7 linked regions of the Macaca mulatta genome follow. The protein of the gene in region 6 binds, or shares a complex with, the protein of the main gene of each other region. Links are inferred from orthologs where the notes say so. Each region holds a gene or a part of one and is shown on either strand. Other genes may lie near its edges.

Region 1 (4,578 bases), on a different chromosome or scaffold from region 6:
GCCCATCTGCAGTCTTTTGAGTAAATAAAAGTGAACCATCACAAACTTTTCTAGGGACATGTGTTTATAGCATAGTATAAGAATACACTTCATAGTGGAATCAACTTAACATAATTTATTCAAAATGAGTCATCTTTTCTACAAAATAAAGGTGTTACATGAGTTCAAATACAGATTTTATTAGTCATAATTATAATAAAAAAGATGAATCACTGTACAAAGATCAAAAAGATGTAAGGTTACCAATAAAAAGATAATATATTGAATACTTTGTGACAGAAATGAAGATGAGAACAGAAGCATTTAGAAGTCCATATTAGACAAGCGTAAAGATACATGAAATTTCATGTAGGCTGCACTGGCAAAGATTATAATATGTTAAGATTTTACGTTAAAGTGAATGCATTCATTTACATTATTTTAATTCCTATAAAGATTTTGTTAGACAACAACCTGTATTATGTATGGAAGTAACCTATTATTGTACTTTCATAGTCTTCAAAGAGATCTACAGTTGATCACAGAAAACTTAAGAATACAGCTTGGGGATAAAGCAGGCAAATCCTCAACCAAAGCAAAGTATCACATTTTCTAGAGAAAATAACTTATAGAAAAATAAGTCTTAATGTTTCGTTCATAGTGTCATTTCAATTCAGCAGAATTACATAAGCTTCAAGTGCAATTAAGAATAACTGGTCTTTTAAGAAACTCACATAATAATGTCACAAATTAATTTAAAACTATTCTAATACACCTAACTATTCATTCAACAAATTCATTATTAGTAATATGAATTCTATGCATTTTGCCCTACAGAACTTGGAAGAGTAAACCATTCACTCGAAAATCTCTATTAGTCTGCTATTAATATAGACTATTTAAATAAATATTTTCAGTAAACACTTTACTAAATTAATACAAAAATCCAAGCTAAAAATAAGTAAGTGTTTAGCTTGGTAAGATGGACCATCCAGAGGCAAGCAAAAAGGTTAAAATTAGTAAATTTTGTGATCTTAAGTAAAAAATTCTTTTTAACATTCAGTTTTATGTTTCCTACTGAGATCTAATAATACAATGATACTTAGGGATGACACAGGATGAAGTTAGGCATGTTACAACATACCTTCTAGAAATCTTTTAAAGTGGTTGCAAAAGAAAATACTGATTTCTCTGGGGGCAATTTTGCAAGTGTGGAACTCTGGCTTTCACTCTTAATACTTCTCAAAATATAGAGTATTATGAAAACAGTTTGCATTTAACTGATGAAACAATCATATTTTTGACACCTGTATAGGAGGTCCCTTCACTGTGTCATGGTAAAGTAACCAAATATTTACTGTCAACATTTTTGACAGGTGACACAAATAAATTGTAATCGCTTCTTTACTTGTAGAGTACTTGAATGTTTAAAATTTTCTAATGAGTTTGAAAAATTCAGTATGCTAAATGTTTCAAAAGAAACGTTTAAATCATTGCTCAGTATTTTTAAAAAATATTCCATCTTCTGTTAATAGGTGAGCATAAACTTTTTTCATCTTGACATTAGAAAATAAACAAACTTAAGTTCCAACGTCGCCATAAAAAGTTCTCTAACTTTTAAACCATTTAAAAGGTCTTGGGTCTTAAGACTGGAATATATAACAAAACACCCCAAGCCTTTAAAAAACGATTTCGGTAAGCACTTGGCAAACAACTGAATTTAAAAGTTGTATCTTTAAGCAGACTCCATTAATAATTGCGTCATTACATAAAACCGTTTAACTTACAGTAATGTTCTTTGTAAGACACAACACACTATGATTTTTTAAAATAGTAACTTTTTAAAAAGCTGATTCTCCATCTACTCAAGGCTTTAAAAATAATTTTCACAAATCAGACAAATGTTCTATTTTCATAAGAATTTACCATTATCTTTGACACAAATGCCTGCCGTGTCCACATGCGCTAGTGCCAGCCTCAAAACAAACTTTTACGGCTAGAAAATGGTCTATGTAAGATAGAAAATATTTCCTTTTAAAAGGCAGGTAAACAAGCGTACTTTTAAATTGTTTCTCATTTAAAACTTGCTTTTAATTTTACACCGTGAAACGAAACAGTGACTTGATCGAAGAAGCCCACTAAATTCAAAACCAATTTTACTATGGCATTTCTGCAAAAGCGATTTATCAGTCAGTTAAACTAGTTAATAGTTAAATAACGACAGTTCTAAACGCAAACAGCATCAACGATGGATAACTCATCCAACTTTACGCTAGAAGTATTTTAAACGAATTCCTTTTACTTTCCTCCCCATTTGAAAGGGTTATAGATGCCCAAAACAGCCCCAAGGAAAAAAGAAATAAACAAAACCAAGTAACTCATAAGAACAAATTACTCCTTCCCCCCGGCCAAGAAAAAGCTAATAAGCGCGCGCTTTTCTATAAATCTCAGGCCTACTGACCAACCAATTCCCATAAAGAGTAAGTTGGAGGAAAAAGGACCCTGAGCGCTAGGCGCCTCCTAAATTCGCAGTGAAGCTTTTCCACATTCATTCTCCCCAAGCCTGCCTCTTTCGGAGCCGGGTTTTCACTTAGACCAACCTCACCCACTCTTGGAGAGGACAGCTGCAAGGTAAACTACTCGGCTACGGGTACCGCCGTCCTCCTCACTCCGAGCGAGGCGGCTGGGCCCGCGCTCCTCCCCGACCTCGGCTTCAGGGACGGCATCCCACACTTCAGCAGGCCTAGCTGCCCCCGGCCCCTGCTAGAAGAAAAGAATGGAGGGATGGGCCGGATGGCTTCCATATTCCCAGTCCCTCCGGCCACCTCTCACCTGTCCAACCAGGGTTTGTAGGGAGCGAAAGATTTCGTAGAGCACCTCTCGGGAGAGGCTAGGGCTGCATCTTCGCTCCAGGCTCCTGTCACCGCTGTTCGGGCGACTAAGCTCCGTGGCAGCAGCCATGATGCCTTTTCAGGCCGCCCCACCACCACCACCACCACCACCACCACCACCACCACCACCACCACCAACACCACCACCAACACCACCACCAACGTTTGCTCACAACCCCGCTCCCTCCCTTCCAGCTTTAGTCGCTTGGCGATGACGTACGACACGGCGTCTCGTTTAGATCAGGCTTTGAGGCCCCACCCTCTCTATGTGACTGACAAGCACGTTACACCAATCAGTTGCAACTGCGACATTACGCCGAGGCTCTGAAGTGGGAAATTGCAGACCAAAGCTAGGCTGGAAGGCTATATTTGAGGTGGTTATTAGCGTTGTGGTCTGTTTAGCGTTATGAAGCCTACCTTGACTCCCAGATGTTCACTGTGAATCTTGGTAAGAGGAGACATAGTTAAATTTTGTAGTTTGAGTCCCCAAATTAAAAGTTGACATTTTAACATGGCGGTGTGGAGTGGTTCTGGAGGAAGCTTGCTGGTCAGGGATGGAGTGGTGCCCGCAAGTGTTTCTAAACACTGGAAAACTCACACGGAATTGTCATGGTTGGATAGAACATTTTCATCTCTTCAAGTTTTAAGTTGTTGTTTTGGAGGCAGAGTCTCACTCTGTCGCCCAGACTGGAGTGCAGTTGCGCCATCTCAGCTCACTGCAACCTCCGCCTCCCAGTTTCAACCTGCCTCAACCTCCTGAGTAACTGAAACTACAGTTGATATTCTCCATTATAACTGTAGAGACTCTTAACCCTAAAATTGTTTCAAAGAAATGAAACACTGTCAATATAATCCAACAGGAATTTAACCTGGATAAATAATATGCAACCACAATCTTTGAAATTAGGACATAAAACCGAATTGAAATTTTACAAAGTATTATTTATCATAATAGCTTTATTATAAAGATGTTCGTGGGGTTTTGTAATCTTTTAGTCAGACTCCAATATTTTTAAAAAGTGTTATCCAATTTTAAAAAGTATTACAAGAATTTTTAGTGTCAAATTTTATTCAAAAACACTTTAAGAAATAAACATCAGCTGAGAGATAAGGAAGGTGGGATTTAAAACTCTTCATTCTGTTAATAGTCTAATGCATTTACAGTAGAGAAAGCAAAGGTGGAAACTTGCACAATGTGTATTCTTTAGTTTTAGGGTAGACTACATTAAAGGGAAGGACTAACGCATCGAGGAACTAGGATAAGGACGATGGAGATAAAAGAACTCCTTTGACCTGTCCCTAGGGAGTCTCTTAATTAGGCTTTCATTTCCAAAGACAAATGGGATCACCAGGCTTGACAGAATCTTGGAAAATCTTTTCTGTTCCCTTGTTGGCAGCAAGATATACAACTGATATTCCAGCCTATGTCTACAGCCAGAAAGATACTTCGCAATGTCCAATCTCAAATTGAGCAACCTTCTTATTCAAGCCACTCATCCCCATATCTAGCCTAAATTCATGATTCTTTGCCATGTTAGCATGTTTTGTTTGCTTCTGGTTCTCTTGTTAATAGAGAATAATTGTAATGGGGTAACTGTAGGTTTTTGTTCTGTACCAAATTAGCAATCAGTTTCAGATCACTTGTTTGCATTGAGGTGTTTCATATTTTTTCAAATATGGAGAACACTGATATGCAGCACATTTGGGA
Region 2 (2,979 bases), on a different chromosome or scaffold from region 6:
ATCTCAGCTCACTGCAAGCTCCACCTCCCGGGTTTATGCCATTCTCCTGCCTCAGCCTCCCGAGTAGCTGGGACTACAGGCGCCCACCACCACGCCCGGCTAGTTTTTTTGTATTTTTTAGTAGAGACGGGGTTTTACCATGTTAACCAGGATGGTCTCGATCTCCTGACCTTGTGATCCGCCCGTCTCGGCCTCCCAAAGTGCTGGGATTACAGACTTGAGCCACCGCGCCCGGCCTGTTGTGTTCTTTTTAACTTTTTATTGAATTACAACGTATATTAATAGGAGAAAAGTACATGTAAGTGCAGAGTTCAATGACATATTCACTAACTAAACACACTTCTGTAACCAGCATTCAGATCAGCAAACACAGCCTGAACAGCACCTCGGAAACTGCTTTCTTTCTTCTGCTTCCTCCCCCTGGGTGTGCGCTGTGCTGCCCTCTCACTCAACTGTGGTTCAGCGCAGCAGCCCCTATAGGTGTTGACACATGGCCGATAGGGTCACAGTCCTGCTGGGCCCTCGGGCTCACTCAGGAACTGGGCGCTCCCAGGGGGTCCTCCAACAGCTCAGTGCAGCATGCTGGGGGGTCAGGGCCAGCACCTGTCCCTGGGGCCTCAGGCCTCCCTTCCTTCCCACAGCGGCCAAGATCGCAGGTCTCTACAATGACTCGGAGCCACCCCGGAAGACCATGCGCAGAGGGGTGCTGATGACCCTGCTGCAGCAGTCGGCCATGACCCTGCCCCTGTGGATCGGGAAGCCCGGTGACAAGTGAGGGCAGCAGCTGCGAGGGAGGGGCTGGTGCCCAGGGGCTGGGACTGACCCTTTGTTCTGCTCACAGGCCCCCACCCCTCTGTGGGGCCATCCCCGCCTCAGGGGACTATGTGGCCAGACCTGGAGACAAGGTGGCTGCCCGGGTGAAGGCCGTGGATGGGGACGAGCAGTGGATCCTGGCCGAGGTGGTCAGTTACAGCCATGCCACCAACAAGTGAGTGACACCAGCCCCGGGGCTGCTTTCTGGTCACCGAACTTGCCTGGGCTGCCGCTCTGCTTCCCGTCTGCACAGCAGGAGAAAAGCTCCCCAGAGGCCAACTGTGCAAGGAGCACCAGGTCCTCCCCCATCCTCACTCCCCGACAGGGACTGCACCCCTGGCTGCATCCAGCGTTTTCCTCCTTTTGTCCACAGGTATGAGGTAGACGACATCGATGAAGAAGGCAAAGAGTGAGTGTCTAGGCCAGGGCAGGGCACGGAGCCTGGGGGCAGCCTAACGTCTGGGAAGGAGCATCCCCACCTGGCCACATGTTGATATAAGCCCCTCTTCTCCCAGGAGACACACCCTGAGCCGGCGCCGTGTCATCCCGCTGCCCCAGTGGAAGGCCAACCCAGAGACGGACCCCGAGGCCTTGTTTCAGAAGGAGCAGCTCGTGCTGGCCTTATATCCCCAGACCACCTGCTTCTACCGTGCCCTGATCCACGCACCCCCACAGCGGGTAAACCAGCCTCCATGGGAGAGGCCATGGGTGATGTCAGGAACAGGCTGATCAGACAGACAAGGGGTCCTCTACCCCCTCCCTCCCCTTGTCCTTATCTCACAGGCTCCAAGCTGACAGCACCCACCAGCTGCCCTCCCTCTTCCACTCCAGCCCCAAAGGTCACCATCCCCTTGCAAGCCCTGGCAGTCTTGGCAAGCCCTGAGTCAGCAACTCCCTTTCTGCATTCCTAGGAGAACTAGCTCTGAGATGGGAAGCTCCTGCCCTGAGCCCCGGGCTCCTACCCCCTTATGCTCCTGGTGACATGGGACACAAGCCACCTGAGGCTAGGATCCCTACCTGCCACCATCTGGGTTGCCCTGGGTCCCTGAAAGGCAGCAGACCCTCCAGCTATGGCCCCATTAGGAAGGGAGTCAGCGCCCCTTCCTCTCCCCACCCTTTTCACTGCCCTGGGTCTCCAGCCACTGAGAAAAGAGCTGTGTAGCAGCAGGGACCGGGCCAAGACATCTTGACCCCAGAGTGAAGGATGATGAGAGTGGCTGAGAGTCCACAGCCCAGAGGCTCCTGTGGTCTAGGCTGGGAGAAGGGGGTGCCTGTCCTGGCCTGGGGCTCTCTGAGCAGCCCTCCTGTCTGCCTGCCACACAGCCCCAGGATGACTACTCGGTCCTATTTGAAGACACCTCCTATGCAGACGGCTATTCCCCTCCCCTGAATGTGGCTCAGAGGTACGTGGTGGCTTGTAAGGAGCCCAAGAAAAAGTGACGCTGCCTGGTGGACTCACCATCCCCCAACGACACAGGGCAGGACAGCAGAGGATGTGCTGGGATTAAACAGACATTCCTCCTCCACTCGTCTCCTGGGTTTTACTTCTCCAGACCCTCTCCCCTCTCCAAATAGGGCAAGTTGGGGAGCTGGAGTGGGGAGGTGGCCGTATTTGGCCCCAGTGGGCGATCACTCTTTCAGCTCATGGTTTCTCTTGGCTTGAAATGGAGACTCTGCATTGAACACAAATCATACTTTATTCTTGAGCCGCTTGGTCAGGCTTGATTCGCACACTCCCTCAGCAGTGACCGCGGGAGCCCCTCTCACAGCTCAGAGCGGAAGCTGAGGCTGCAGCCTGCCATCTTCTCCGCATAGTCCGCATCGAAGCGCTCATTCTGCGCCACGGTGAAGGTGGTTTTCCAGTCCCCAGTCATTCCTGGAGGAGGAAGGCAGGGAGCAAAGCTGGAGTCTCATCCCAGGGGAGGCCCTGAGTGCCTATGGGGAGGCTCCAGCCGCTGCTCCCACCCGCCCCAAACCCCCGTGCTGGCCGGTACCCACCTTTCCTCATGAAGGGGGAGATGCTGTGGTCCATGAACTCCTGGGGGACGGTGGTGTAGTTGGTCATAGGGTTCTTCTTCATCTCCTTGAATGACGTGTGTTGAACCATGAGGTCCACGGTCTCCTCTGGCAGGGAGCGCCCCACAAACTCCAGGATCTTCCGAATCT
Region 3 (3,962 bases), on a different chromosome or scaffold from region 6:
AGTAACAATCATTCTATCAACACAAGGCAAGTCCTTAGATTATTTAATCAGCTACACAGAGTAAGGTGTCCCAAAAGTCATATCATTTAAGAACTTACTTTTTAATAAAGAAGGCACTGAAATACTGAAGTTGATAGAGTCCTTGAGATTTATAACCCATGGTTCTCTCAGGCCTCTAAGAACTCCTCTGTTGACCGTCATCTGATAGCTACCTGCTTTCTCTGCTTAACTTCCATGTGTATCCATAGGAATTTTTAGGTCAAGAGAGCACTTACTAGTATGCCAGGGACAAGAGCACCTTGTAAATTTTTAAAGCAAATTTTGAGGGGTCATGTTAGTGTTTGCAAGATTGCAAATATACGTGATCTCACCGTGGCCATCATTGAGTATCAGCGACTGTGCGCCACCTATGTTTGGGCCCTCAGGTGTATGGTCTGGCTGGAGGGGAAGATGCCCACCTGCAAAGATGAACCACTCCTCCACTGGCCTCGCAAACACTCAGCAGGGACTGACTCTGTACAGCCCTCATGCTGGGCACCAAGGACACACACACACAAGGACAAAGTACTACTGCTGCCCTGTCTTCAGGCCCTTACCAGTGACAGATAAGGCAGCAAATCCTCTAAGTGCTCTCCTAGGTTAAAAAGACGCATACTGAGAGATCTCAACTCTTGGGTGGGATGCGGCAGAGAAAGGGAGTGCTATAGAAATAACTGAGAAACTCTCAAGAGAAAACCACCACCCAAAGTAGCACGTATTAATTACTCAGTGAGTGATTTACACAGTCACCGCCTAAGGAGAGAAGGAAAACAATTTCTAGGAAAATGGTTCTCAAGGTTCCTGCCAACATTTGGGAATTATTAAGCAAGTTTCATTAAAAATTGGAGAAACAACTTTTATCATCTTCATCTCCTCTTTAAAAGGAATCTTGCCTGCATAACATATAATCCTCCATACCAAACGGTTTCTAAGTAAAAGTTAACTAAAAAAACTCTAGGGGAAAAAAATCCTTGCATGTTTTTTGATGTTGGTGTATGGTGTGTTTTCTTCAAAGGTGATACAAATATATCAAAGGATGAATTATAATTCAATACTAGAATCAAATCTTAGAAGGTTCATATCAGCCTTATACAGTGATAGTAAAATTAAAAACTATCAGCAATAAAATATGTAGCTAGGCGTGGTGGCTCATGCCCATAATCCTAGCACTTGGGAGGCTGAGGTGGGAGGATTGCTTGAACCCAGGAGTTCAAGTACAGACCAGGCAACACAGTGAGACCCTGTCCCTACAAAAACTCAGCCAGGCATGGTAGTGTGCGCCTGTGGTCCTGGCTACCCAGAAGGCTGAGGCGGGAAAATCACTTGAGCCCAGGAGGTTGAGGCTGCGGTGAGCTATGATTGTGCCACTCCAGCCTGGGTGACAGAATGAGACCGTGTCTCAAAATATATATATAAATTCTTATTGATACAGTTGTGCTAAAATGTTTACAAATATTTTAAAAAATAAAAATAATAGTCCTACCCTCACTTCTCTGAGTTGCGAAGGTGATGATCCTAAGAGCAGTAGCTATTACTAATATGAATAGTCTACCCTAAAGCTCTTGCTTTTGGTGTTTTCTCATTTTATTTACTACACATGTTCACAAACTGGTTTCTATGAAAGCTGGGTCTAAATAATAATCTTATTTTACAGGGTCGGAGATTTTTGTCTGTGTGCTTTGACAACCTCATGAATGCTGTTGACTGGCTTTCTTCACTTGGTTTCCAAGGAAACCATTCCATTGGGCCATGCTGGGAAGGGCTAGCTTAGCTTCATTCCTCCTCCAGGTTGTTCAGGGGAGCCCAGACACAGGTGATAAATCATAAACATAGACAACTTACCTGAATCAGATGATAGATCATGAAAGTTGCAATTCCTGCTCTTCTCCATTCAGGGTGGACAAAGAGAAATGAAATGTAAGCTTCATTGTATTTCACGTCGGGAACCATGAAGCCAAAGGCAATGATGACTTTCTTATAAAGAACAACAACACTGAAGTCTGGGTACTGCAGACACTCAGACAGGTCAATGCCTAAGAAAAGAAACCATCAGAGACTCAAACCACATGCCTTTGAGAATTAAGGAACACCAAGCTGTTCAGCATGTACATATGGCTACACCTGCATGCTAAAAAAAAAAAAAAAACACCAAAACTGGAGGTAACATAGATACCACACGTCCAGATCATAAAAATAAGAATGAATTTTAGAAAACACTGAAATTAACATAGTATTTTCTAAGTACATATATTAAAAGAAGAGTGGCAGAATAGGGTAGGTAGCAGTGCACAGGTTCAGAATTGGACACAGCTGGCTTTGAACTCAGCCTCCTCTACCATGTGTGGCTTGGCACATTTCAAAATGTCTCAGAGACTCCGTTCCTGCAATGCGTAACATGAAGAGCACACCTAGACCTGACAGGGTTGAATAAAGATCCCCCCGAGCGTGTTCTATCACATCCTTTACCCCACACACATATAATTTATAAGCTCTTTTGTACAAACGATACCTTTCACAAAAAATAAGTAAAATATGGTTCTATGCATAATGTATGGAAGGCACCTAACATAAGGGCAGGAAGCAGAAGATGATCCCAGAATGTTACTTTTGGCTCAATATGACTCCCAAAAGAGTGAGTGCAGCTCTGCCACCACATGCACGGTTATGTGATTATGTGACAATAAAGACGACACAGCTCTAATCTTGATGAAATCGTATCTAACACCTGAAAGGTACGTATTATTTCCTTTAGGTTTCAAGGCAGCATGGGAAAGCAGATCCACAAAGAACAGTTTATATTTAGCAATGAAAATGTGTTCCTTTAATTAATGACTTTGGTCTTCAGAGGCAATTTTGTTAAGGCTGATAAAATGACAAATTATACTGGGCCTACCCTTATTCTCAAAGTCTGTGATCAGGGTATTTGGCTTTTAAAAAACACCTTCTGGCTGTACTAACACTCTCTAAGGAACAGCTAAATAAACATAAAGAATTATTAAGCCAAAAACAAAAGTGTCCAAACACGCCCAAGCTACCAGTCTGTGTATCTTTGATAGACATTACCTGGTATCTAAATATATGCAGAAGCAAAACAGGATGAATCTTTTACTCTGGAAGCAGAGACAAACAGGGAAGAGAAACAAACAAAAACACTGTTTATTGCTGGCTTCTTCTAGATTTTAGGAAAATAAGAGGTATTTGTATTTTAGTATTTCTATATTAGCAGAGACAAACTAAATGAAATCATAAATAAAAATCTTAAGGCTATCACATAAACTAATTTTAAAAATTGCTAGAATGGACTGTACAGAAAAATGACCCGCCTGGTTTGGGAGAGGGAACATACCAGGCCAAAAAAACTCCTGACACATGGAGTTGATCGTTGGGATGTGATTTGGCCGCACGTAACAGTAATCGAGAGGCGCGTCGGGCTCCGGCGTCCAGTGAGGGTCGCTCCTGTGCAGGTGGGAACGAATCTGTGACAGGAGCTGCAGTTTGGGTGGCTTTGTTTCATAATCACGCCTCCGGTACCACAGAAGATAAACAAATTCAAGTCAAGAAAAATACCTGGTATTATTCCTAGCTTTTTGACTCATGTAAACTCTTTGATCTGCTTGAAACTTTAAAGTAACCTGCACTGTTTTACACGAAGCTGGCTTGATTACAGCTATACTTTTATGTATGAAACCTAAAATTCACTCTGAACATTCATCAGGCTAAAGCCCTCTGTACCCACCAGGGACTGTGCCAGGTGCCTTCATGAACAAAGTGAGGAAACAGAAATAGCATCAGATTCACCCCGAGGAGTCAGACATGAGGATGCATCTCCAGTGCCTTGGAGGCCAGAAGAGGGAACATTCAACTTTGTGGGGCATTTGGGGAACACCAGAGACAAAGTGAGCTTGGAGCAGGCTCATAAACAG
Region 4 (4,700 bases), on a different chromosome or scaffold from region 6:
GCTTTGGTAGCTTTAATTCTCAGCCACCTCTGAACTCTCTTGTTCTGCATCATGTCTATCAAGGCCCAGAGTTTCTACCTTGTAATGCTCAGCCTCATCTTCTGGGGGCTTCAGTAGCTCCTCAAGTGTGCGGACCTCCTCGCTGGTGATGTCAGCACAGTAGGGCTCCACTGAAGCCCAGAACCTGCAGGGAGAAGCAGATCCTCAGTGGGTACCCCTGCCCCACCAGCGCCTCCACCACCAGAACCTTGAGGCCCCCTTCTATGTTCTCTAGCCCAGAACCTGTTGGGGGCATCATTTTTGGGGATCCGTGGCACGTCGATAGGGTCATCAGTGAATTCATATTCCTGGATCTTGGGCTGAAGGTTTTTGGATTTGGGCCGTCCTGGGCCAGGGCCCGGCCCATGTCCCGCCTTCCCTTCCAGTTTCTGCTTCTTGGGCTTTCCATGTTTCGGGGGAGCTCCAAGTTCATGGTCTCGACCCAGCTTCAGGAATCGTCGGTCACCTTTTTTATCCTGCCAGTCGGTGAGGATCTGAAATGTACAGAAATTGTCACTGAGGGAGAGAAGGGAAAACAAAGAATATTTCTTTCCTCTAGTGAATAAATTAGGATCTAGAATCTAAGGAGTCTCCTGGGTCTTTCCCCATCCTCTTTTTACCTAGTAAACTCTTACTCATCCTTCAAAATTCAGCTCATTTTCTGTGCCTGGCCTCTTACGACTTTATTCATATACTTCTCATCCTCTCATTCACTTGTTCATCTGTGCTTTTGATTCACTTCTTTATCACCCATGCCAGTCACATATTGTTTAACAGAAGAGTCCTCCCAGCAAACCTTCACTTCAATGTCACCACCACTGAGATGCCTTCTCTGAATCAGTTACCCAGGTTCTTAGATGCTAAAATACAACTTGAGTCATAACCTTCCTCAAGGAGCTTCCATGGATTCCCAGGGACAAGTTAATTCCATTCATCCTTTTAGGTCCAGTTGGCACCTCCTTCCTCTACAAGTCTCTGGCACTTCACACCTCCACCGTGCACCCAATCATGCTGTTTGGTCACACTGGAATGACCATCGCACCTTGTTTCTTCAACTAGACCATAAGCTACTGAAGACCAGAAAGCATACCTTAACTATCTCTATTTTGCAGCATACAGCATAGCGCCTGGCACACAAGGCTGAAGGCATCTTTATGCAGTGAATAAAGTAATCAGAGTAGTAAATAAATAACACCTGAAGTGCTTACTTAGTGTCTGGCACTGGGTTGAGTTTTTGCAAAAATTCTCTTTTAATCCTCACAAAAGCACTAAGGTAGGTCCTATTATTCACCCCACTTTGCAGATAGGGAAACTGATACTCGGAGATATGAGAAAACTTTCTCAAAGTCATATAGCTAGGAAACAGCAATGCTAGCAAGTGCTTATGCCAGGATTCAAATCCAGGTCTCCCCATTCCAGTTCCCTAGGACTCCTAACCACAACATCACATCACCTGGTATGCACCTGACTTTCTCCCTTTCCTAGTTGGCAAGCTCCTTGACAGCCAAAACTGTCCTAATTACCTTTCTCTAATGACTAGCGTAGAACCCAGAACATAATGGGGGATGGGTGGGGGGATGCCAAAAAAAGTGTACCGAATTAGAAATCTTGCAATTTAAGAGGATCATGCATATTCTTGTGTATTTTTTGTGTCATGCAAACCCAGTTTGGGTCTCTCTCCCTCTCCCCATAAACCCCTGTATCCCAGGTTTCAGCATATGGAGCTAACTCAATGACCCATCCCATAACTTGTTGCAGTCCATCTCTGGTGATGGCCCCTCTCTGGGGTATCACCTGGGTTTCGGCCTCAAGCACACGCAGGCGCCGGCTGGCAGAAGACAGCAGGGTCTCAAGCTCCAGCTGCAGGGTGTCCAGCTCCTCGATGCCGATGCCATCATCCTCGGATCGCGCCAGCACTGCCGTGTAGCGGGGACAGACCTTCAGGTGATCCACAGACTTGAAGTCATGGAACTGCAAGGGGCAGTCTTTCAACTCACTCATGGCCCAGGATATGGGGATCCTGTGGGGCTGGAGAGGACAGGGCCATTGATGGGAGACAAAGGGGTCTGAGAAAAGCCCAAGGGCTTCTTACCTCCAGGGACAGTCTCAAGCAAGCCAGGCTTCAGTCCCTTACTGACAAAATTGATGGCACAGTTCCTACTCACAGGGCACTTAACTGTGTACCAAGCTAGGCGCAAAGCACTTTATCAGCTTATCTCACTTAATTTCTCACTCAGCACCATGAACAAGGACCGTTGTGATCTCTTTACAGAGAAAGAAACTGAGACTCTGTAAGGGTGGGTATGTGCCTATGCTTCCAAGATGCAATTTGAACCCCGCTATATTGAGTCTGCACCCCTGATCACCATGCTATATTACTATGCATTGCCTTGCCTTTCTGATGCTCTTTCCTTCCCTTCTATTTCTCTTGGGTTCTGCTAAGACTTTGAGTTCCAAGCACCCCATTCTTACCATGTTCTCTGGGACTCTTGGCCTCTTTTCTTATCCTACTCCACCTTTCTCCCTTCTCTAGTCACTAATAGTGGTTTAGAACGTGGGCTGGTAAGCCAGACAGACCCGGGTTCAAGTCCAGGCTTTACCATTCTCTACTTATGTGCCCCGAACATGTTGTTTAACCTTTTTGAGTCTCAGTTTTTCCATCTGTAAAATGGGAACAAAAGAAGTCTCGGTCTGTTTCCCCATTAAAAGTCTGAATCTGAAAAATGGGGATAACAACGGTACCTACCTCCCTGGGATGTTCTGAGGATTAAGAGATGATGCCCGTCAAGAGCCCAGTTCAGTGTCTGGCACAGAAATGGGACTATTTAATGGCTGGCCCCGCCCGGGGGTCGTCCAAATGTCCCGCCTTCAGAGTCCTCGTTCTCTAGGGACACCCTAGCGCGACCCCCGCCCCCTCTACCTCCTCACTGCGGCCTCCTACGGCCCCAGGGCCGCGGGAGGGGGCGGGGAGTTCCGGTCGACGGGAGCAACCGCCCCGGAACTGGCTATGGGCGGGCCCCTTGCAGTTGACGCGGGGGCGGGGAGTCAGCGAGGGCGAGCCTACTGAAGTTTGCCGGGGGTGGGGAGAAGGTGGGCCTCGAGCAAGCCCGCTAGAGGTGGGGTGCGGGTGGTTGGCCTCAGGCGCGCCCCAGGGCATAGCCCGGGGCGGGAGGCGGGAGGCGGGGCTTGGCGGCGGAGATCTCGGCGCTGCAGTTAGCGCCGCTGAGCCCCAGGAGCTGCGGGTAGGAGGGGCGAGAGAAAGGATGGGGGCACAGAACCGGAAGAAACGAAGGGCTCCTCCGCTTCAGCTTGTCCTAATTTGGTGCCCAATCTGAAGCTGGGCTGTACCATTGCATACCTGGGGGGAGGCTGTGGCAAAGGTAACAAGAAGGCCGAAGGCACAAAGGGGAGCTGCTCCCATTCCTGGAGAAGCTTAAGTAGTGACTCGAGTGCAAGAGTTTAAAGATACCGAGACAGCCCTAGGTGGAAAACTTCCGGAAGGGCCAAGCGTTCGCAAGGGTTCCCTATCCCGCTCAGAGCATAGATGGTACCATCCGGAAGTCCGGGCGGAGACAGAGGCTGCGCTTCTCGCGAAAGGGCAGGCATCGCGGGGCTGGCCACTTCCGTACTTCCGCTTTCCGGCCCAGCCAGCGCCCGCGATGGTGAGAGAGCCGGGCCCCCGGCCAGGGACCCCCAGCTGTTCAGCCTCAGGGCAGTGGGTCGGTGGGAGATGTGGCTTTGCCGCAGGGGCGCGGGGCTGAGGGATGCCCGGGGGTTGTGGGGACACCATGAGGGTGGGAGAAAGAGGGCGGGGGCCCGAGGTGAGGAAGGGGCGAGTAGGGGTACTCCCTGGTTTGAAGCGGGCCTTGCGGCTTCGTGATCAGCCTTCCAAGCAGGTAGGGGCTTTTACTGAGCCCTGGAGGAAGCTGGAAGTGGGGCTTCCTAGGCTCTTTGGAGCGTTTCGAGGGTACGTAGTCGGCCTCTTAGCCCGTCGAAGGGCCGCTGAGGCATGTAGCGGGTCCATCTGCCTGTCCACAGTAGAGCTTCACTAAATACGCCCTTTGTCTTCTGCCTTCCTGACCCTACAGTTGCTTAAGGCAGGCGGCCACACTTCCTTATCCCACTCTTGGTACCTCCAGCCCTGCTTCCACCCCACTGGAGGATCTCTCGTGTTGCTTCCATTCAGGCCCCTCCTGGTCAGAACTGAACTGTGTCAGCCCTAGTGTTTGTTAGCTGTGATACTGCTCATCCCTCCCTTCCTGAAAGTCCTCCCTTTTTCATACATGTGGGTATTCTTGGGAGTTGTGACTTTGGATGACCACCTCCCTCATCGTCACACCTTCCCTGGTGATACCGATCTAGTCTGCTGGCTTCGATGACTTTCTTCACTCTGATGACTCCTAATCTGGCTTCTCAGCTCTCTTTGAAGGTTTGCCTGGGTATCTTGAAGAGACCTTGAAATTACACCTCTAGTTCAAAACTCATCTTCCATTCTAAATTTGCTCTTCCTCCTGAGTTCCCTATCCTGGCAAACTTTGTGAACTCGTATCCCTGCTAGAAATCTGGATTTTTTTTTTCTAATGGAGCACATGCGTCTTGATTTTTAAAAATTTAAGTTTTTTGAGGTATTGTATGAGACTACGTCTGTTTTATTCATGAAA
Region 5 (3,859 bases), about 20 Mb from region 6:
CGGCCTTCTCTACTGGCCCCCCAGTTCCTCCAGCCTGCTCTACTGGCCCCCCAATTCCTCCAGCCTGCTCTACTGGCCCCCCCAGTTCCTCCAGCCTGCTCTACTGGCCCCCAGTTCCTCCGGCCTTCTCTACTGGCCCCCCCAGTTCCTCCAGGCTGCTCTACTGGTCCCCCAGTTCCTCCAGGCTGCTCTACTGGCCCCCCAGTTCCTCCAGGCTGCTCTACTGGCCCCCCAGTTCCTCCGGCCTGCTCTACTGGCCCCCCAGTTCCTCCGGCCTGCTCTACTGGCCCCCCAGTTCCTCCGGCCTGCTCTACTGGCCCCCCAGTTCCTCCGGCCTGCTCTACTGGCCCCCCAGTTCCTCCAGCCTGCTCTGACTCCCCAGTTCCTCTGGCCTTCTCTACTGGCCCCCCAGTTCCTCCAGCCTGCTCTACTGGCCCCCCCAGTTCCTCCAGCCTGCTCTGGCTCCCCAGTTCCTCTGGCCTTCTCTACTGGCCCCCCAGTTCCTCCAGGCTGCTCTACTGGCCCCCCAGTTCCTCCAGCCTGCTCTACTGGCCCCCCCAGTTCCTCCGGCCTTCTCTACTGGCCCCCCAGTTCCTCCAGGCTGCTCTACTGGCCCCCCAGTTCCTCCAGGCTGCTCTACTGGCCCCCCAGTTCCTCCAGGCTGCTCTACTGGCCCCCCAGTTCCTCCGGCCTGCTCTACCAGCCCCCCAGTTCCAGCCTGCTCTACTGGCCCCCCAGTTCCTCCAGCCTGCTCTACTGGCCCCCCAGTTCCTCCAGCCTGCTCTACTGGCCCCCAGTTCCTCCGGCCTTCTCTACTGGTCCCCCAGTTCCTCCAGGCTGCTCTACTGGCCCCCCAATTCCTCCAGCCTGCTCTACTGGCCCCCCAGTTCCTCCAGCCTGCTCTACTGGCCCCATAGGCCCCCATTCTCCCCTGGGGCAGTGGCAGCAGAGGAAAGAAGATAGGCATGGAGACTTTCCTGGCAGGTGTCAGGTGAAGTAGGGGACATAAAGGGACTCCTACTCCATCCACAGAGGGGCTGGACAGAATGACCCCAGGCTTCAGGCAAAGGACCAGTGTGGGATAAGGCTACGGGTCACCTGCTTTTTGAAGTAGCCGATGGCATACTCGTCCGCGTAGGTGAGGAAGTAGAGAATGTTGTGCTTGATATGATACTCCTTCAGGTGGTTCATCAGGTGGGTCCCATAACCCTGTGGGGGAGGGGAGCAGGACTCACCAGGAGCTGAGGATGGGCCTGGTGCTGGAGAGGTCTCAGAGCCCAGAGTGGAGCGGGTGGATTGGAAAGGAGGTGGGGAGAGGGAGAGCATCCAGGCAAAGAGGAAGAAAGGCAGCTGACAGAGGGAGGGGAGTTTATGGGGGAAAGTGAAAGGTAGAGGCTTTCTAAGCTCACTCTGGGCCAGGTGCAGTGCTTCCTGTTTTACAGACCGATTCTCAACCCCAGAGGCGAGTAGTACCACCTCTATTTTAGAAAAGAGAAAACTGAAACAGCTATGTTAGGAAATGCGTTCAAGGTCAGGCTGCCAGCCGTGGCAGGGCCGGGTCCAAACCCAACACAGGCCAGCAATTCCCAGTCCCTGGGCCTCAGAGTTGGGAGAGGAGGGAGAGGGAGTCACCAGAGGCCTGAGCAGGAGCAATGGCTCCCACACATCAGGGCCAACGATGCGCCACGCAGATCTGAGGTATGTGACACACAGAGCCAGCGACCCTACGAGGGGGTCTGTTGTAACAAAGGACAGAAGCCAAGGCTATCAGCATAGGACTACTGTAATAACGGTTAGTTCGGCTGGTCACCGTGGCTCACACCTGTAATCCCAGCACTTTGGGAGGCCGAGGCAGGTGAATCACTTGAGGTCAGGAGTTGGAGACTAGCCTGGGCAACATGGTAAAACCCTGTCTCTGCTAAAACACAAAAGTTAGCCAGATGTAATGGCGCATGCCTGTAGTCCCAGCTACTTGGGAAGCCAAGGCACGAGAATCACTTGAGCCTGGGAGGTCAAGGCTGCAGTGAGTCCTGATCATGCCTCTGCACTCCGGCCTGGCTGAGAGAGACCCTGTTTCAAAAAATAAATAAAAAATAAAAATTAAAGTAATTAATTCCCCCATGTATGTAAATGTTCTTGTGATGAAGAAAATCCTAGTCCACAGGTCACCAAAGCGTGGCCGCTTCTTGGGCTCTGTCTGTGAACAGGTGGTTTCCTAATCCACAGTTATCAAAGTACGGCTGCCACCTTGTGGGGATGTGAGGAACGGGCCACTAAGAGAAGAGCCAGGGGCTGCTGCATCCCACACCTCCCGCTGCTCCGAGCTGGCCCAAACTCCGGAGCGAGCCGTGGGCTGGGGAGCGGCACTCACCTTGACCTGCTCATTCGAGGTGACAGCACAGAAGACAATCTCCGTGAAGCCCTGGGTGGGAAACATGCGGAAGCAGATGCCACCGATGACCCGCCCATCCTTGATCAAGGCCAGAGTCTTGTGCTTCCTAAGAGAGAGGTGGGCACGTCACAGCCCCTGCCTGTTTCCTTCAGGTCCCCAGAGCCCTGGAAGTCTGAACTGTAGTCAGGGTTGGGCAGTGAGAAATAAGAATGATCAAAGGTTGAACTTCAGAAGTGGGGAGCAGGGGATCTCCAATTTTGAGGAGTCAAGAGGCCGAGGAGGAAGGGACCCGGGGGTCCTGCCCTGGGGGAGGGGCTCTCTGGGGGACGCACGGGTCAAAGACGAGGCGGGCGATATACTCCTTAGGCATGCGTGGCAGCTGGTGGGAAAAGACATTCTGCAGCCCCACGAGCCACAGCAACACCCGCCGGTTGGCCTTGGGCGTCAGCGAGTTGCCAATGACGTGGAACTCAATGATGCCACGGCGCTCCTCCAGGCGGGCTGTCTCATCCCGGGCCGCATTGGCCGAAAGCAGGCTCGTCTGGGCACAGAAGAGGGGCGGTGAGCTGGGGTTTCAGGTTGGTGGGGGTCCCCCAACTGGTCAGCAGGTCGGGCTGCCCACCTCAGGCCCCAGCATGGCAGCAGGGTCAGTGATGGTCAGCATGACCTCATTGACTAGCTCCATGGGGATGTCGCCCATCACACGGAGCCTCTTGGCATCCTCCAGGGTCAGGTTCTCCGGGAGCTTCCTCTTCTCGCCTATTGGGGAGGCAGGCAAGGTTGGTCAGGATCAGTAAAAAAAGGTTTGGGAAGGAGTGAATGATGGTCAGAGGTCAGGGATCAAGTATCTACCTGGCATAGGCTCGGCCCCTGCAGAATCCAGACTCAGAGAGCTGTTGCTGCCTCCGCCCATGCTGGGGCTGAAGATGGGGGTGCTGGGAACAACTGCTGCACTGACCGAAGCTGAGGAGAGAGAGAGAGAGGTCAGGGACCGGGGGACTGAAGCTGAGACAGAGAGAGAGAGAAGTCAGGGACCGGGGGACTGAAGCTAAGGGGAGAGAGAGAGAGGTCAGGGACAAGGGGACTGAAGCTGAGGAGAGAGAGAGAGAAGTCAGGGACGGGGGGACTGAAGCTGAGGAGAGAGAGGGAGAGAAGTCAGGGACAAGGGAGACAGAGAGAGAGAGAAGTCAGGGACGGGAGGGCTGAAGCTGGTGGCAGGTCCCTCAGTGGGATCCAGGGCCTCTGGCCCAGCTGAGCCCTCTTCCACCCAGGAGGCTTAGCTCAGCCAGGCAGGCCAGACACCCTACAGAGCATACCATGGCACATACCTGGCCGGGGCACCAGCTGTGTCCCCTCTGAGGGTGGCATGGTGAAGCCTGACTCCCAGATTGGAGAGTTTGCCCCATAGATCTCCTCCTCCAGCATGGACAGGAATCTGTAGGGAGGACACAGTCTGTCCCACAACTC
Region 6 (4,723 bases):
ATCCCAGCTACTCGGGAGGCTGAGGCATGAGAGTTGCTTGAACCCGGCAGGTGGAGGTTGCAGAGAGCCAAGATTGTGCCACTGCACTCCAGCCTGGGCTACAGTGGAAGATCCTGTCTCAAAAATAAATAATAAATAAATAAGTGAAAGCAGAGAATATATCGGATACATATTTGCATTCTTTTAAAATGCCAAGCATACAGGAGGAATACAATAAACACATAGTAGTGGACCAATAAATGTTAGTTCTACAAAAGGTTAATTCATCTTTAGTTTTTCTGAAGTGATTTTTTTCACCCTGGTAATTTTTAGCTTGGAGAATAATTCATCACTAAGTGTGGGCAACATTCCACTAACGCTGCCGTCAAAGAACTTTTCCTTTTTGGGGTGCGGTAGGTCTCCTTTGCTGTTGTCTCAGGAAAAGTTGAGCTCTGAAGAAAAATGACTCTAGCAAGGGTGTATTATGAATGCAGCAATCAAATAACAGCCAAATTTACTGAACTTTTTCCATTTGCTAGGTACCCGCGGGTACCTCGGTGTGGGGATTCTTTGAATCCTCACTCCCACACTCCTGAGGCAAGCTGCTTTTTCAAAAGCAAGCAAGCTCTGAAAGAGTATGTTACTTGTGCAGTGTCTTACAAGGGATAGCAGTGTCATTTCAAACACAGATGTCAAGGCTGGTAGTGGTGGCTCACGCCTGTAATTGCAGCACTTTAGGAGGCCAAGGCGGCAGATCATCTGAAGTCGGGAGTTCCAGATCAGCCTGACCAACACGGAGAAACCCTGTCTCTACTAAAAATACAAAATTAGCTGGGCGTGGTGGCACATGCCTGTAATCACAGGTACTTGGGAAGCTGAGGCAAGAGAACTGCTTGAACCCGGGAGGCAGAGGTTGCTGCGAGCCGAGAACGCGTCGCTGCACTCCAGCCTAAGCAACTCAGGTTGCAAAGTGCAAAACTCCGTTTCAAAAAAAAACAGATGTCCAGTAAAGGATGCAGTCAATATGGACTGATCAACACTCAAAACAGCACAGCAGGAGGCCGGGCGCGGTGGCTTATGCCTGTAATCCCAGTACTCTGGGAGTCCCAGATGGGCAGATCACCTGAGGTCAAGAGTTCAAGAGCAGCCTGGCCAACACAGCGAAACCCCGGCTCTACTAAAAATATAAAAAATAGGCCGGGTGCGGTGGCTCAGGCCTGTAATCCCAGCACTTTGGGAGGCCAAGGCGGGTGGATCATGAGGTCAGGAGATTGAGACCATCCTGCTAACACGGTGAAATCCTGTCTCTACTAAAAATACAAAAAATTAGCCGGGCGTGGTGGCGGGCGCCTGTAGTCCCAGCTACTCAGGAGGCTGAGGCAGGAGAATGGCGTGAACCCAGGAGGCGGAGCTTGCAGTGAGCCGAGATTGCGCCACTGCACTCCAGCCTGGGAGACAGAGCAAGACTCCGTCTCAAACAAAAACAAAAACAAAAACAAAAACAAAAAATAGCCAGGCGTGGTTGCGGGCGCCTGTAATCCCAGCTACTCGGGAGGCTGAGGCAGGAGAATGGCGTAAACCCGGGAGGCGGAACTCCGGGAGGCGGAACTTGCAGTGAGCTGAAATCCGGCCACTGTACTCCAGCCCGGGCGACAGAGCGAGACTCCGTCTCAAAAAAAAAAAAAAAAAAAAAAAAAAGGCCGGGCGCGGTGGCTCAAGCCTGTAATCCCAGCACTTTGGGACGGGCGGATCACGAGGTCAGGAGATCGAAACCATCCTGGCTAACACAGTGAAACCCCGTCTCTACTAAAAATACAAAAACTTAGCCGGGCGAGGTGGCAGGCGCCTGTAGTCCCAGCTACTCGGGAGGCTGAGGCAGGAGAATGGCGTGAACCCGGGAGGCGGAGCTTGCAGTGAGCTGAGATCCGGCCACTGCACTCCAGCCTGGGTGACAGAGCGAGACTCCGTTTCAAAAAAAAAAAAAAAAAAAAAAAATTGTAGGGCCGCGCGCGGTGGCTCACACCTGCAATCCCAGCACTTTGGGAAGCCAAGGCGGAAGGATCACTTAAGGTCACGAGTTGGAGACCAGCCTGGCCAACATGGTGAAACCCCACCTCTACTAAAAATACAAAAATTAGCTGGGCGTGGTGGCACGAGAATCGCTTGAGCCTGGGAGGCGGAGGTTGCAGTGAGTTGAAATCGTGCCACTGCACTGCACTACAGCCTAGGAGAAAATAAAAAAAAAAAAAAAAGCAAAAAAAGCACAATATTGCAGTCTGCAGAACCTTCTTTCTCCTCCTTTCACAAGAGACCACATTCTGACACCAACTTCCGTGGAAGCACAGGAGCCAGCTCCAAACTAACAATCGCCAAATTCGAATCAGTTACCGGGTGAAGTGAGACACTATGCCGGGCAGAAGTCCACGTGGGGAGGAGAAAAGGCGCAGGCTCCGGAGGTGTGGAGCCAACGTTCAAATCCTTACGAGGTGGGACCGGCCTGGGCCAGTCATTTTACCTGCGCCTCGGCTCTAACAGGGTACTGAAATACCTACTTTGGAGGGCCTGCTAAGAAATTCAAATGGTCTGGTCAGGGGCATCACGCACAGTGGCCGTCCTTGGTAGAGCCACGGGCTCCAGGGCTGAGCGTGGAATGGCGAGGCTGGGGCACTGCGGCACCGCCCAGACGCGGGGCGGGCACCAGGGGTCAGGCCGGGTCCCGCGCCGCCCTCCCCCACAGCGCGGCGAGGCCCGGCACCACCCGCCCGCCAGCCCGGCGCGTCCCGCCCGCCGTTGAGGCCCGCAGCCCGCGCCTCCTCCCCTGGCGCACCTCGCGGCCCCCGCTTCCCCGTAGTCCCGCTAGAGGGGCTCGCTCCCCGCCACCCGCCAGCCCAGCGCTGCCTGGCGCCTCACCTCGCCGAGTCCCCCTAATCCGCGCCAAGGAGCCGCCGGTCGCGCGCGCCTCCGGGCTTTGCGTGCGCGCCCCCGGGCGGCGCAGTGGCGAACGCGCTTCGTGCCGCGCGCCCGCCGCCTCCGCCCCTCGGCTGTGGAGGCCCCCAGCGGGTGCTGAGCGCCAGCCGCCGCCCCCTTGGCCTTTTCCCGGCCACCGCCCGTCGCCCGTCGCTGTCCCTGTGCCTGAGGACTGGGAGGATGGGGCTAAGCCGCTTGCCTGACTTTTGATCCGCCAAGTAATCACTTTGTCCGTGTGGCGCGTGGCCCGTTGCCGGAGGCTTCCCAGCGCGTGGGGCCGTTTGGTCCCCTCCGGAGTGCGGTGAGGCGGGCCAAGCCGGGACTGCCTGGGTTTGGGGATAACGTTCCCACCCCCACCCCTGTTGCAGCAAGGGAAATTGAGGCTGAGGGAACTGGGCCCAGGGACGGCGAGCCGTGGCTGCCTCTCCAGTCCGGGCCCTGAAGGGCTGCTCGTGGATGAACCAGACTGATTTTTAAGGGGTGAAGAGGGTGCGTTTCAATCAGATGCTTCTGGAACGTCGAAATTGTCTTCTTTGGAAAGAACCATCCCCTCTTTGGGCTTCAGAGGCCCAAATTGAGGCGCGATGATGAGAGGATGTGGTGGTCTACTCTGATGTCAATCTTGAGGGCTAGGTATGTCCCAACATCTCTTATTACTGCTGCTAATGATGATTCTAATAGCTACCATTTGTCGAGTACTTGTTGCATGCCAGACGTTGCACAAAGCAGGTTACACATATGGTCTCATTTAAAACTTGTGAGGTAGGCACCTGTTGTTATCCCCATTTTCCAGGTGAAGAAATCTAGGCACTGACATATAACTTGGAATCACACTGCTAGGAAGTACTGGGGAAGGGAAATCAAACCATGGTTTATCTCAAGTATGTAACTGTTACATCTATTTAGAAGTCTGCCTTTGATAAATTTGCCCAGCCATTTTTAGAATCCACTTACACTTTATGCCTGTGTGAACCCTTTCGTTCTTTTTTGGTATATGCATAATACAAGTTCATTTTTTTTTTTTTTTTTGAGACGGAGTCTGGCTCTGTCGCCCAGGCTGGAGTGCAGTGGCCGGATCTTGTATTTAACCTGTCATAGCAAAGATGACTAAGTGCCTTATTCCCTCACTAAATATCTCTGTAAAGGAACCTGAGAAACCACCTTTTTTCCTCTTTAAGCTGTAAATTTATATTAATAATATCCAAATCCATGTTGAACCAGTATTTTTGAAGATTGACCTTCAGGATAAACTAATAGCACAATCTTCATGCCCTTTCATTCTTAACTAACTGAAAAGGTTGACTTTTGTACTAGGAACCCAACGAAGAAAACTTGCATCTTGTCAAGCTAGGTAACCTGGCTGCCATTAACTGAGACCAAAATATCCCAGCAGTTTGTCTTCAGCTGCTAAGCTGCTATGGTTAGAATCAAAAGTAGAGTTTCTGGCCTGGTGCGGTGGCTCATGCCTGTAATCTCAACACTTTGAGAGTCCTAGGTGGGAAAATTGCTTGAGCTCAGGAGTTCAAGACTAAACTGGGTAACATAGTGAGAGTCCGACTCTACAAAAAAATCGAAAAATTAACTGGGCATGGTAGCACACGCCTGTGGTCCCAGCTACTTGGGAGGCTGAGGTGAGAGAATTACTTGAGCTTAGACAGTTGAGGCTATAGTGACACGTGATTGTGCCACTTTACTCCAGCCTGGGCAACAGAGTGAGACCTCGTCTGGAGGAAAAAAAAAAAAAAAAAGGTGAAGAGACAACCTACGGAATGGGAGA
Region 7 (4,747 bases), on a different chromosome or scaffold from region 6:
CCTCCAGAGTAGCTGGGATCACAGGGATGCGCCACCGTGCCCAGCTAATCTTTGTATTTTTAGTAGAGACGGGGTTTTGCCATGTTGGCCAGGCTGGTCTCGAACTCCTGACCTCAGGTGACCTGCCCGCCTTGGCCTCCTAAAGTGCTGGGATTACAGGTATGAGCCATTATGCCCAGTCCAAATTAGTCCTTCTTGGCCTCCTAAATCTAAAATTAAATATGTCTTTCTACATTGCAATTAAAAGCTCTACAAAGTTCCCATTTTTCTATCTTAAATAATCTATGCTTCTGTGAAAACAGAATTTAGCTCTCCTCAAATGCCACAATACGTAAGTACCCTAATAAGTTATAGTCCTTGACATTTAGAGGAGCCTTAAGAAGGAGGGAATGCTTTCATTCAATTATATGTTTTGTATAACGATTACTTCTATTTTGCTGATGGACAAACTGAGACAGAGGAATCCACTTAGAAGAGAAGAAAAAAGTTTTAGAGGCACGCGTAACTGGGGTTGGGTCACTCAGTACTGTGTGATTTCAGGCAAAGTATTTAACCTCTCTAAACCTATTTCATTATCTGTACAACGAGACTGACAATATCTAACTTGTGGGGCTGTGATAATTAAATCATAGAATACTCGAAAGTACCTAAGCTGTGCCTGGTTAGTCTGAGTAGGTTTCAGAAAAAGATACTAATATTGAAGTAAGTGACTGGTGCAAGTCTCCCCACCATTCTTATCCAAAAGCAGCCATCCCTAGTAAATGTTTGCACTAAAAATGCAGGACACACTTATTTATGGCTTTCCAAACAGCTTATTAAATAAATAAATAAATAACACTGAGCTTTATTTAAAGGTTCCAGCCAGGTGCAGTGGCTCATGCCTATAATCCCAACATTCTGGGATATCAAGGTGGGAGAATCACTTGAGGACAAGAATTCAACACCAGCCTAGGCAACACAGCCAAACACCGTCTCTACAAAAAAACTTAAAAATTAGCTGGGTGTAGTGGCTCATACCTGTAGTCCCAGCTACCCAGGAGGCTGAGGCAGGAGGAGTGCTTGAGCTCAAGAATATAGGTTGCAGTGAGCTATGATGATGCCACTGCACTCCAATATGGGCAACAAAACAAGACCCTGTCTCAAAAATATAAAAATAAAAATAAAGGTTTCCTTACTATTAAGTGACATTTACTGTATCAATGTCAATGCAGTAATAACACTCAAAGTATCAGAAACTGTAAAAATTTCCAGTTTTTACTGGAAATAAAAACTGGGCCAGGCGTGGTGGCTCATGTCTATAATCCCAGCACTTCGGGAGGCTGAGGTGGGCAGATCACTTTAGGTCAGGAGTTCGAAACCAGCCTGGCCAACATGGTAAAACCCTGTCTCTACTAAAAATACAAAAATTAGCTGGGCATTGTAGCACACACCTGTAATTCCAGCTACTTGAGAGGCTGAGGCAGGAGAATCGTTTGAACCGGGGAAGCAGAGATTGCAGTGAGCTGAGATCGTGCCACTGCACGCCAGCCTGGGTGACTCTGTCTCAAAAAAAGAAAACTGGAAGCGGGGGGAAGTGACTCATGCCTGCAATCCCAGCACTCTGGGAGACCAAGGTGGGAGGATCACTTGAGCCTAGGAGTTTGAGACCAGCCTGGGCAACATAGTGAGATCCTGTTTCTACAAAAAATTTAAAAATTAGCAGGGTGTGGAGGCACATGCCTGTAGTTCCAGCTACTCAGGAGGTATATATAGGTGGGAAGATTGCTTGAGCCTAGGAGGTTGACGTGCATGGTGCCAAGATTGAGCCACTGCACTTCAGCCTGGGCAACAGAGAGAGAACCTGTCTCAAAAAAAAAAAAAAAAAAAAAAAAAAAAAAAAAAAAATTCCCTCCTGAGTTTGAAGATAAAGCAAAGATTCTGGAAGCATTTAAGGAACATTAACCAAGCATCTCATTTGCTACGCACAGAAGGGTACTGTATTAAAATTATGATCTAACCATTGCCTCACTGTAATCCTAAACCTCTTTGAACCTTAGCCTCCTTAAATGTAAAATAGGAGTTTTTAAAAGATGATCTTTTGGGACTCTTCCATCACTGACATTCTTTTACTTGAGATGCAGAGATCTGTGCTCATTCAGGGTTGAGTGGAATGGGATTTAAAGCACTTATCAAGTATATAACTGAGTTCCAACTGTTTTCAACTTCACATCTGATTCCCAAGAATGAAGCAGAAAATGAAGATGTTTGCATGTGGGCTTCCTAGATTGAGTATCTAACACAAGAAAAGCCTGCCAAGAGCCAAGCAGGCAGTGCGAAGGAGAAGTTGTCTTCCCCTGAATACGTCCTTTATCTCTCTGGGTTCAGGGAATACTGTGGAAAAAAAAATGGATCACTAAATCTTTTCCAAACCCTTTCCCTTTACTTTCTAGGCTGATCTCACATCCATGGTCCCTTAGATCCAAGGCTTTTAGGAGCTTGGGTCCTCACCGCCCTGTTCTGAGACTCAGGTACTCGGAGTCTCAAAGCCCGGATCCCGTCCCCAAAGAAGCCCCAGTCTTCACTGCCCGCTTCTGTTCCCTTCCAAACTCAAGTTTTCTCTGTCTGCTTCTGCCCCTCAGGAACCTGAGTCTTCGCTGCCCCGTTTCTGAATCCTTAGGAGGCCGGGTCTTCACTGTCCCGCTTCTGCCTCTTAGAAGCCCAAGTCCTCACCGCTCCACTTTTACCTCTCCGGAGCCCGTGTCTTCACACCCCGTTCCTTTCCGACCCTCTCCTCGTAGGAGTGCGGGTCCTCATAATCCTGCTCCTCTCAGACCACTTTCCCTCAGATGCCGGAGAACTCAGATCCGTCCCCGTTCCCTAAGTCCCGTCTTGGAGCCCAGGTCCCCACAGCCGCGTCTTCTCCGAGCCTGATCCTCTGTCAGTCCCTTCCCAAGAGCCTGAATCCTCACAGCCCCGTCTCGTCCACAACCTGGTCCTTCGAACACTGACCTACTGTAGATCTGGGTCCTGACTCCCTCCTCCCGCTCTTGTTCCTCAACTGCCAGGGCCCAAGACTCACAGGCAGCAGCGTCTATCTCCCCATGATATGCGGAGACTGCCCCAGAGAAGCGTTCGTCTCAGCAGCCGGTCCGACTGCGCGGCCCTCCCCGACTACTTCCGGCACCGCTCCCCGCCTCCAACCCGGAAACGCGCGGCTCTTCCGGCCGGCGGGCGCGCGCCTCGCTTGCGCAGGCGCAGACTGCCCTCCGACACGTGGTGGCGATCTTGAGCTGTGTGTAGCTGTAGCCTGCAGCTTGCGCTTTTAACTGCTTGTAGTTGAGTGGCAGCATGAGCGAGCTCTGCGTATTCCACCCCGGCGTTAAGAATCCTTCACTAGCTTTTCTTCCCGACTCTGCTTATTTATCCATCGGTAGCATGACGGGTAATTGACGCCCTCGGATGGCTTTGAGGTCGCCATTTTTGGTTGGTGCCTTTGTCATGGTGTCAGGACCAGGATATCATCTGGGACACATTACCCCACAGGTATCCTGTTGAACCTCAACGAGGAAGTTGGCAACACAGGAACCGGGAGATGAGACAGATCGGTTGGTTGTGCCTGTGAACTGGCAATTCAGTAATAACAATTGACTGCTGACTGTTTGCCAGGAATTGTGCTAATCCGCTTACCTCCGTTACGCCATTTAATCAGTTAGAGGAGACCTGTGAGAGATTAAGCAAAATTCTAGCTAATAAGTGCAGAGCCTCAGCTTGAACTCAGACCTCACTACTAAGCCAAAGCCTGTCCTGTAGCATTCTCTACAGGACAGTTTTTTGCTGTCAAATGCTTGGTGAGAATTGCTTTTATGTGGCTCACGCCTGTGATCCCAGCACTTTGGGAGGCCGAGGCGGGTGGATCACGAGGTCAGGAGTTCAAGACCAGCCTTGCCAAGATGGTGAAACCCCGTCTCTACTAAAAATACAAAACAATTAGCCGGGCGTGGTGGCACGCGTCTGTAATCGCTACTCCGGAGGTTGAAGCAGAGAACTGCTTAAACCTGGAGGGGCGGAGGTTGCAGTGAGCCGAGATCGCGCCACTGCACTCCGGCCTGGGTGACAGAGCGAGACTCTGTCTCAAAAAAAAAAAGAGAGAACTGTTATTTTTTACTGTATGCTGGAATGTTAGGTATGCAAGTCAGACCCAGTTCCAGCATCTGTAAGGTTCACAGTAAAATGGAGAAGAACCCACAAACACACCAAAAAATGTATAAAGAGCTGTGGGCCGGGCGCGGTGGCTCAAGCCTGTAATCCCAGCACTTTGGGAGGCCGAGACGGGCGGATCACAAGGTCAGGAGATTGAGACCATCCTGGCGAACACGGTGAAACCCCGTCTCTACTAAAAATACATTAAAAAAAACTAGCCGGGCGAGGTGGTGGGCGCCTGTAATCCCAGCTACTCGGGAGGCTGAGGCAGGAGAATGGCATAAACCCGGGAGGCGGAGCTTGCAGTGAGCTGAGATCCGGCCACTGCACTCCAGCCTGGGCTACAGAGCGAGACTCCATCTCAAAAAAAAAAAAAGCTGTGACAGGCCAGTGTGAGCCACAGTATCTGCCAGCAGAAATTAGGAAAGGTGCCCAGATTGGTGCAGCATCCTGCCCTGTCTTTATATCTTCCTAATCCTCATCCTACCACCTTCCCAATCCACCCTCTACACTGCCACCCAATCCAAATTCTCAGATTCAAGTCCTCATGAACATTGGGCTCCAAGCT

Evidence for each region.
Region 1: TADA2A (region 6) and MBIP share a complex: the UniProt entries of both Homo sapiens proteins name them as parts of the ADA2A-containing complex. The link is inferred for Macaca mulatta from reciprocal best matches to the Homo sapiens genes TADA2A and MBIP.
Region 2: TADA2A (region 6) and SGF29 share a complex: the UniProt entries of both Homo sapiens proteins name them as parts of the ADA2A-containing complex. The link is inferred for Macaca mulatta from reciprocal best matches to the Homo sapiens genes TADA2A and SGF29.
Region 3: TADA2A (region 6) and KAT14 share a complex: the UniProt entries of both Homo sapiens proteins name them as parts of the ADA2A-containing complex. The link is inferred for Macaca mulatta from reciprocal best matches to the Homo sapiens genes TADA2A and KAT14.
Region 4: TADA2A (region 6) and TADA3 share a complex: the UniProt entries of both Homo sapiens proteins name them as parts of the ADA2A-containing complex. The link is inferred for Macaca mulatta from reciprocal best matches to the Homo sapiens genes TADA2A and TADA3.
Region 5: TADA2A (region 6) and KAT2A share a complex: the UniProt entries of both Homo sapiens proteins name them as parts of the ADA2A-containing complex. The link is inferred for Macaca mulatta from reciprocal best matches to the Homo sapiens genes TADA2A and KAT2A.
Region 7: TADA2A (region 6) and TAF12 share a complex: the UniProt entries of both Homo sapiens proteins name them as parts of the PCAF complex. The link is inferred for Macaca mulatta from reciprocal best matches to the Homo sapiens genes TADA2A and TAF12.

Annotation. Positions count from the first base shown.
Region 1 is NC_133412.1:109,438,882-109,443,459, forward strand, and holds the start of MBIP (MAP3K12-binding inhibitory protein 1), read right to left. Parts: upstream 3,084-4,578; 5' UTR 2,941-3,083; coding exon 2,812-2,940; intron 1-2,811. UniProt on the Homo sapiens protein: Inhibits the MAP3K12 activity to induce the activation of the JNK/SAPK pathway. Component of the ATAC complex, a complex with histone acetyltransferase activity on histones H3 and H4.
Region 2 is NC_133425.1:28,316,580-28,319,558, forward strand, and holds the end of SGF29 (SAGA-associated factor 29), read left to right. Parts: intron 1-237; exon of another isoform or gene 238-641; coding exon 642-771; exon of another isoform or gene 772-841; coding exon 842-988; exon of another isoform or gene 989-1,186; coding exon 1,187-1,222; exon of another isoform or gene 1,223-1,328; coding exon 1,329-1,491; exon of another isoform or gene 1,492-2,136; coding exon 2,137-2,253; 3' UTR 2,254-2,337; downstream 2,338-2,979. Other genes in the region: sulfotransferase 1A1, read right to left, coding at 2,456-2,486, 2,581-2,689, 2,812-2,979. UniProt on the Homo sapiens protein: Chromatin reader component of some histone acetyltransferase (HAT) SAGA-type complexes like the TFTC-HAT, ATAC or STAGA complexes.
Region 3 is NC_133415.1:65,817,265-65,821,226, forward strand, and holds part of KAT14 (cysteine-rich protein 2-binding protein), read right to left. Parts: intron 3,562-3,962; coding exon 3,386-3,561; intron 2,073-3,385; coding exon 1,882-2,072; intron 1-1,881. UniProt on the Homo sapiens protein: Component of the ATAC complex, a complex with histone acetyltransferase activity on histones H3 and H4. May function as a scaffold for the ATAC complex to promote ATAC complex stability. Has also weak histone acetyltransferase activity toward histone H4.
Region 4 is NC_133407.1:148,575,972-148,580,671, forward strand, and holds the start of TADA3 (transcriptional adapter 3), read right to left. Parts: upstream 3,034-4,700; 5' UTR 2,786-3,033; intron 2,068-2,785; 5' UTR 2,041-2,067; coding exon 1,834-2,040; intron 534-1,833; coding exon 283-533; intron 185-282; coding exon 79-184; intron 1-78. Other genes in the region: ARPC4 (actin-related protein 2/3 complex subunit 4), read left to right, coding at 3,584-3,751. UniProt on the Homo sapiens protein: Functions as a component of the PCAF complex. The PCAF complex is capable of efficiently acetylating histones in a nucleosomal context. The PCAF complex could be considered as the human version of the yeast SAGA complex.
Region 5 is NC_133421.1:66,453,590-66,457,448, forward strand, and holds part of KAT2A (histone acetyltransferase KAT2A), read right to left. Parts: intron 3,828-3,859; coding exon 3,721-3,827; intron 3,356-3,720; coding exon 3,245-3,355; intron 3,152-3,244; coding exon 3,015-3,151; intron 2,934-3,014; coding exon 2,725-2,933; intron 2,499-2,724; coding exon 2,372-2,498; intron 1,210-2,371; coding exon 1,099-1,209; intron 1-1,098. UniProt on the Homo sapiens protein: Protein lysine acyltransferase that can act as a acetyltransferase, glutaryltransferase, succinyltransferase or malonyltransferase, depending on the context.
Region 6 is NC_133421.1:46,862,538-46,867,260, forward strand, and holds the start of TADA2A (transcriptional adapter 2-alpha), read right to left. Parts: upstream 2,954-4,723; 5' UTR 2,890-2,953; intron 1-2,889. Other genes in the region: ACACA (acetyl-CoA carboxylase 1 precursor), read left to right, coding at 3,542-3,579. UniProt on the Homo sapiens protein: Component of the ATAC complex, a complex with histone acetyltransferase activity on histones H3 and H4. Required for the function of some acidic activation domains, which activate transcription from a distant site. Binds double-stranded DNA.
Region 7 is NC_133406.1:212,257,628-212,262,374, reverse strand, and holds the start of TAF12 (transcription initiation factor TFIID subunit 12), read right to left. Parts: upstream 3,153-4,747; 5' UTR 1,338-3,152; intron 1-1,337. UniProt on the Homo sapiens protein: The TFIID basal transcription factor complex plays a major role in the initiation of RNA polymerase II (Pol II)-dependent transcription.